Linked DNA regions of Arabidopsis thaliana. The protein of the gene in region 1 binds, or shares a complex with, the protein of each later gene. Each region holds a gene or a part of one and is shown on either strand. Other genes may lie near its edges. The genes, in order: EPF1 and TMM. A codon is read from its position in the direction of its gene.

The links.
Region 2: the proteins of EPF1 (region 1) and TMM are in contact, whole or in part, in a crystal structure (PDB 5XJO), measured with the Arabidopsis thaliana proteins. Residues at the interface, in NP_179684.1 of Arabidopsis thaliana: Arg56 (codon at 2,146), Asp59 (codon at 2,155), His62 (codon at 2,164), Ala63 (codon at 2,167), Gly65 (codon at 2,173), Ser66 (codon at 2,176), Lys93 (codon at 2,257), Pro102 (codon at 2,284), Val103 (codon at 2,287), Pro104 (codon at 2,290); in NP_178125.1 of Arabidopsis thaliana: Trp73 (codon at 2,486), Ile77 (codon at 2,498), Pro78 (codon at 2,501), Arg82 (codon at 2,513), Gly83 (codon at 2,516), Arg84 (codon at 2,519), Trp85 (codon at 2,522), His86 (codon at 2,525), Tyr98 (codon at 2,561), Asp111 (codon at 2,600), Thr112 (codon at 2,603), Ala113 (codon at 2,606).

The regions. Positions count from the first base shown.
Region 1 is NC_003071.7:8,982,092-8,985,473, reverse strand, and holds EPF1 (epidermal patterning factor 1), read left to right. Parts: upstream 1-1,659; 5' UTR 1,660-1,894; coding exon 1,895-1,982; intron 1,983-2,068; coding exon 2,069-2,295; 3' UTR 2,296-2,611; downstream 2,612-3,382. Other genes in the region: AT2G20870 (cell wall protein precursor), read left to right, coding at 2,813-3,235. UniProt on the Arabidopsis thaliana protein: Controls stomatal patterning. Regulates asymmetric cell division during guard cell differentiation. Mediates stomatal development inhibition. Not cleaved by the protease CRSP (AC Q9LNU1).
Region 2 is NC_003070.9:30,127,902-30,131,832, reverse strand, and holds the start of TMM (Leucine-rich repeat (LRR) family protein), read left to right. Parts: upstream 1-2,183; 5' UTR 2,184-2,269; coding exon 2,270-3,760; 3' UTR 3,761-3,931. Other genes in the region: CBSX4 (Cystathionine beta-synthase (CBS) family protein), read right to left, coding at 1-319, 400-504, 581-824, 1,138-1,406, 1,502-1,615. UniProt on the Arabidopsis thaliana protein: Promotes cell fate progression in stomatal development. In leaves, needed to correctly orient spacing divisions, to limit the number of asymmetric divisions in neighbor cells, and to promote the asymmetric (amplifying) divisions of meristemoids.

The DNA.
Region 1 (3,382 bases):
TGTACCCTACCCATGTCAGTATCACCATACATTCATAATATATATAACTTCTTTTAGAATTTATTTAAATTTTGGATGGCTGTTTCGATACATAACCTTCTAATAAGAAGTGTAAAGGCAGGCGTAAAAAAAGATTCGACCTTAAAAAGTAATTAATTTCAAGTCACATGAATAATAATTAAAATGATGTAATAACAAAATAACGAAAACATCTAAATAATGCTAAATAATTATAAAACGCTAAAAATACATCGTTTTTAACTATATTTTTAATAAATGTATTCAGAAATATTAAATTATTTTTCCAATACGATAAAATTAGATAAATGTTATGGATTTTCTTATCATTCACAACAAGGAAAAACTCTTGGATGGTAAACTGAATGGACTTTCAAGGGTTGAAAAATGGAATGTTTTCTGAAGCAGACCGATTTTATACAAGCCCCTCAATTCGCATTAGTAAAACCGATGTCTCCTTGCATAATATGGATTCCAAATATGTTATAATGTCTATTGACATGAAGAACTTAGAAACCTTGGTACATATTAAGATGACGTGGACGCAAGGAGGTGCCAAGGTGGGAGGCTGAAGTCTTAAACTTTCGGCAGATAAAGATAAACAAACTCCAAAACAAAACAAAACAAAAAGAAAACAAAGACAAGGGAAAAGGTTCGTGTTAGAAGAAAAAGTCAACAGCTTAAAGCTTAAAAAGTCGGTGAATGAATGGGTCAGCTCTCTCCACTTTCATTATCTCTCTATGCTCTATCTCTCCAATCATAAAACTTGCTATTCCAATTAAACTTATACACTATCCATTAGTATTTTATGTAGTATTCTTATTAAGATATTTTAACGTGGTCCATCATTCTACTTAATAAGTTTTTCTCTTCTTTTAAATTTATTGGCAGCAGTTTGAGAAAACGATTAGATTGATTAAGAATGCAACGAATGTCAAATCCCAAACCATTATCTTATACCAGTTATATTATGAGTGCTTCATATTTATATATTAACTTGCCAAAGTTTTGAAGATTATACTATGAAGGCTACTCAAAGGGACATTGATTCCTAGAAGATGATTTTATGATGTTAAGCCGTTGACTTTGGTAACTAAATCATTTGACCTTTGATGTTTCTGCCCCCTTTAGCAAATAGAAACTTAATAAGAAAATTTTCATTGAAATTTAGCATCCCAAAGAAAGGTGTAGAAAAGTTATAGTGTAATGTGATTGGTGAGGTGCATGTTCGACACTCTTCAAATGTTGATTGAAACTTTTTTTTGTGTGCAAAGTTGATTGAAACTTTAATATTTTTTCATTAATCGCTTAAAGTGTAGTAGTGTCAAAATATTGAGATGTCAAGTATAGAACATACTATCATTTTCAAAACAATTGTGCAATTTCAGTATAATCAGTATTTAAATCATTAATAACCTCATGTGTAATTAACTCTATTATATTATCGATTTTAAAACACAAGCCCCAAGACAATGTCCCTCATTCTATCTCATCAAATGCTCAACTTTTTTTTTTTAGTAAGAACATTAATTGGGTGCATTAATGAAGGTCACAGAAAAGAAGGGTTATAGAGGGTAAATTAAAGGTGATTGCACACAAAAGTATGTCTTTCAGTTTTTCACAGAGGAAGCTCATGACACTCACCAAAGCAGCACGAATGAAGTTCAAGTTCTTAATTAGGCTTCACATACTCTACATCATCTCCTCAAAATTTATATCATTTCATATGTTCGATCTTGTTTTCATGTGACTCTCTCCTCTTCTCTACCGTGAGTCTCTTCAATTTCCTAACCCTTTGTTAACGATCATATATACCTTGTTTCTCGCCGTACTATTTCATCCCAAATTTTACTTTTACCACTTGCGATAATATATCATGAAGTCTCTTCTTCTCCTTGCCTTTTTCCTCTCTTTCTTCTTTGGCTCTCTCTTGGCTAGGCATTTACCAACATCCTCCCATCCAAGTATGTATCTATGCACATCTTTCTTACTCCAGCTCTTTCACTATCTTCAAGATCTCTAACTTGTTCATGTCTGCGTGCATGTGCAGGTCATCATCATGTAGGAATGACCGGGGCATTGAAGCGTCAGAGGAGGAGGCCGGACACGGTGCAGGTGGCTGGGTCTAGGTTGCCAGATTGCTCACACGCGTGTGGCTCGTGTTCTCCATGCCGTCTTGTGATGGTTAGCTTTGTGTGTGCATCCGTCGAAGAGGCTGAGACTTGTCCAATGGCTTATAAATGCATGTGCAACAATAAGTCCTACCCTGTCCCTTGATCAGCCTCTTCTACACTTATTCTATGCATTCAACCGTTTTGTTTTCCTTTTGCTTCTCCGGGACATGACCATGTGTACGTATACAATGCATCTTTAATTAGTTTCTTTCTTATTATTAATAGGAATCTTAAACACAGTTTGATCCGAGATTAATTAATCAGAAAATATATGGATATCAAAAAATGAAAGCCACTCACCTATTTGGGCTCTCTCGCTGTATTATGGTCCATGAGGCCGTATTTAAGACAGCAACAACAAAAGTTGTAGACAGAATTATATTTAAAAGGCAACAACAAAAGTACGTATACGTTGTTACCACCAAACTTTGGAGGCTCGCTAATAATAACCACACTACCCATTTGTTACACACCCTTTATTTTCAACCATATCATCTCACCTTCGTTAAATGTTCCCACAATTAGCTCAGTATTTTACTATATACATACACACACATTCCCTCCACAGGATCAAACAAACACACGAGCTTTCTCCTCTACAACAAAATAAAATAAAATTAATGGCTTCTTCACTTATCACCTCCGCAGTCATTGTCGTGGTTTTAAGCCTAGTGCTTGGATCTGTAGAGCAAGTGAGTGGACTACGTCACGTTCCCAAGTCCCCTAAGACCACTGATGTCAAACACCCTGACTTTCTTGTAACCATTGAGCCCAAACCAACTATTCTCATTCCCGGTGTTGGAAGGTTCTTGCTTCCTCCCAAATGCAAGAAGCCGTTCTACCCTTACAATCCTGTCACCGGAGCTCCACTTACTGGTGGGGGAATCCCATCATATAATGGTGGACAAGGGGCCGGACCTCACACCCAACTCCCTGGTGGCGATGATACGCTTGTCCCAAACCCCGGATTTGAAGCGCCAACCCCGACCATTGGAGCTGGCACCGGAAGCAACGGCCAAGTTCCACCAGTGCCACTACCCTGAGTATTATTAATCTGTCAACAAATAAGCATATCTTAGATGCAAACATGTCTGTTTTGGTGTCTTGAGTCTTGGTTAGATAAGTAACCCGCTACTTTACTAGCCGTTTCGTTTGCCATCTCTTTTTCTCTCTGTGTCTCTCTCTATTTG
Region 2 (3,931 bases), on another chromosome or scaffold:
AAAGCAAAGCGGATCGGACCACAGCGATGATGTCAGTAAGAGAAACAAGGCCTTGTAGCCCACCGTTCTGGTCCACGACCCAAACTCTGTGTACACGTTTCGTGGTGACCATATGGATCACCTGGGCCAAGGTTGATGTCACGTGACACGTCACGAGCTCCCTCCCTGGTGTTGAGGTAGCAGCGGTGAACAAGAGAGTTCTTGGGATTTTCTCGACGAACTCTAGTGCATTTAGCGGCAACCACGAACGCAATGTGGCTAAATGACATCCCTTCAGATCACTAGCCGAGAATGTCCCCACCACTCTCCGATTTTTCCCCTGCACCAGCAAACACCAAATTAATCAACATTTGATCTTAATAGATACTGATAGATACATGTATAAGTAAAGACACCTACGTCGACGAGCTGTTTATGATCCTCTCCCTCACCAGAGGCTTCGACGATAGGAACCGCATTGAGCATTGCTATACTCATGCATTGTATTGCATCTTTCACTCTAGCCTGGTATTAAACATTACAAGCGTTTAACTTAGGATTTAATGAATAAAGATGAAAATTCTTGACTTGTGAAATTTACCTGGCTAGTGAGGGCTAAAACAGTGTTGTGAATAGCGGAGAGATCAGTGACGGTGTGGGAGAGGATACCATGCAATTGAGAGGATTGGTCGAAGAAGAAAGAGATGAGATCCATCTGACTCAGCATTGCGTAAGCAGAAGCTGACTCTACCAACTCAGGTCCTGTTATATTTTCTGTATTACTGTCCAATGGAACCAATACCCTGTGGATTCCTTTACTCAACATCTCCATACAATCCATGATGCTGCTTTCATCAATGACCATCTTTGATTAGTACTCTATCCGTTCATATATAATGTTAAGATTTTTGACAAGAGAAAAATGTTTTGCATTTTTCTATGAAAAATTTGCATTATAATTTCTAATTTATCATTTAGTTTGAATTATAAAAAATATGAAACTATAAACAATTAATGACTGAAATATGGGTATATATATTAGGTGTTGCAAAAGAATTCTTACTATGTGAGAAAAGTGTACAACATCTAACATTATAAAAGGGAAGGATTAATTATACTGAAAGCAATTTAATTTTACAAATCTTCTATACTATTAACCTGGTATTAGGATTGAGAGACCAGAGGCTAAGACCCTCAGGGCAATGACCAATGATAGAAGAGACAGGGGCAGCCATTTTCTTATCAAGCCCACTCTCGCCGTCATCGCCGGCGATGTGAGCCACAACGTCGAGCATGGTCACCATTCCTATGTACTGTTTTCTTGCACTTCCGCTCTGTTTGTCCAACTCTACTATCATTGATCCCCCGGCTCCCAGCCATTGGCCTGGTTTGGCAGCCACCGGTACAGCTCTAACTCGGTTTGCCACCGGTTTGATACCAAGAATAGTCTTGTTAGTAATTCTTGATACTTAAAACGGTTGACTCCAACCAAAAAAATAACAATTATTTAGCCGTGGTTTACCATAGTGTTCAAGGCGTCCCCTAGAGTGGCATTATCAGGAACTTCGACCAGCCGCCGCTTGTCGATCATCAGATCTTTGACCTTGAACTGCATCAGACGGCTGTACGACTGCATGAAGATTTGTATTTGGGTGATAGTCAAAGTCTCAAAGAAAATGGGACGAGGCTTATGAACTTCTAATCTTTGTTTTGATGCTTTCGTAGTTACTTCATTATTCATATATGTCATGTTACTAGTAAGATGACACGTATTACATGTGTTGCTCCATGGGCATGTGCTTTTCGTATGCACAGACCACGCGTCCGTTTATTCAGATTCTCGTGTTACAACAAAATAATGATTTTAAGGTTCAGAATCAAACATATGAAACTTTTTATCAATTGCTATCTACGGTTTGTTACAAAAACAAATACAGTGCCCAGTTCAAAATACAAATTGAATAATAGCCCAACATATCGTAAATGGGAAAATGGGCTCAGCCCAAATAAAAAAAAAGTAAACGATAAGGAGACGTCGGGTCCCGTTCACGAAGCGGTCGGATCTAGGGCCCAACACAAGACGAATGAAGGGAATATCTCGTGAAAGCAATAAATGCAGAAATCGAGAATCATGAATTTTATTTATTTCGCTCCTCGAGTTATCCCGTGAAAGTCATAAAGACATTGCGAACGTTTTTATGGACCCACCAATTGTTTCTTCAGAATTATACATATACACACTGACAATTTCGAACCTAAACCGCATTCACACAACAACAACAACTAAGAAATGGCACGATATGAATTCTTCCGCCAAATATTCATTGTCTTGTCTATAGTTTCTCCGTTGGTCAGATCTTTCACTGTGATCACCTCCGACTCGACGGCCCCATCTGCTCTGATCGACGGCCCACAAACTGGATTCACGATGACCAATGACGGCGCTCGCACGGAGCCTGACGAGCAAGACGCCGTCTACGACATTATGCGTGCGACCGGCAACGACTGGGCTGCCGCGATTCCAGACGTTTGCCGAGGGAGATGGCACGGGATCGAGTGTATGCCGGACCAGGATAACGTCTACCACGTGGTCTCTCTGTCGTTCGGAGCGCTCTCAGACGACACGGCGTTTCCGACTTGTGATCCACAACGCTCTTACGTCTCTGAGTCCCTCACGAGGCTCAAACACCTCAAAGCCTTGTTCTTCTACCGATGTTTAGGCCGCGCCCCACAGCGCATACCGGCGTTTCTGGGACGCCTCGGCTCGAGTCTGCAAACGCTGGTTCTGAGGGAGAATGGTTTTTTGGGACCTATCCCTGACGAATTGGGCAATCTCACCAATTTGAAAGTTCTTGATTTGCATAAAAATCACCTCAACGGCTCCATTCCCTTGTCGTTCAACCGGTTCTCCGGTTTAAGATCGCTTGATTTGAGTGGTAACCGGTTGACTGGTTCCATTCCCGGTTTTGTTCTTCCGGCGCTGAGCGTTCTGGATTTGAACCAGAATCTTTTAACCGGACCGGTTCCACCCACACTCACAAGCTGTGGATCGTTGATCAAAATCGATCTTAGCCGAAACAGAGTCACTGGTCCTATCCCAGAATCGATTAACCGGCTCAACCAATTAGTGCTTTTGGATTTGAGCTATAACCGGTTATCAGGTCCATTCCCGTCTTCTCTCCAAGGCCTAAACTCTCTTCAAGCTTTAATGCTCAAAGGCAACACAAAATTCTCAACAACGATTCCTGAAAACGCGTTCAAAGGGCTCAAGAACTTGATGATTCTTGTTCTCTCGAATACGAACATCCAGGGCTCGATACCGAAATCATTGACTCGGTTAAACAGTCTTCGGGTCCTTCACCTAGAGGGCAATAATCTGACCGGAGAGATTCCTTTGGAGTTCCGGGACGTGAAGCATCTAAGCGAGCTGAGGCTCAACGATAACAGTCTGACAGGACCAGTACCGTTCGAGAGAGACACAGTGTGGAGGATGAGGAGAAAGCTGAGGCTGTATAACAATGCTGGTTTGTGTGTTAACCGGGACAGTGACTTGGATGATGCATTCGGTTCAAAATCTGGTTCAACTGTAAGATTGTGTGATGCAGAAACGTCGAGACCAGCTCCTTCCGGTACGGTCCAGCACCTATCTAGAGAAGAAGACGGTGCTTTGCCGGACGGAGCTACGGACGTGTCAAGCACTTCCAAGTCTTTGGGGTTCTCCTATCTTTCTGCATTCTTTCTTGTATTCCCTAATTTCATTTTTATGCTAATATCTAGTTAGAGGAGGGATGATAAAACTGCTGTAAATACTTCCCGAGTTTAATAATGTTAGTTAGATGCCTTTTCTGCATTAGTTGGATTGAATATCGCCACCATTTATGGCTACAAAAAAAACTTGTAAGCTCGAACGTGTTCCTTCTGTCTATATACTCTGTTCTTTGATCTCTGTTTT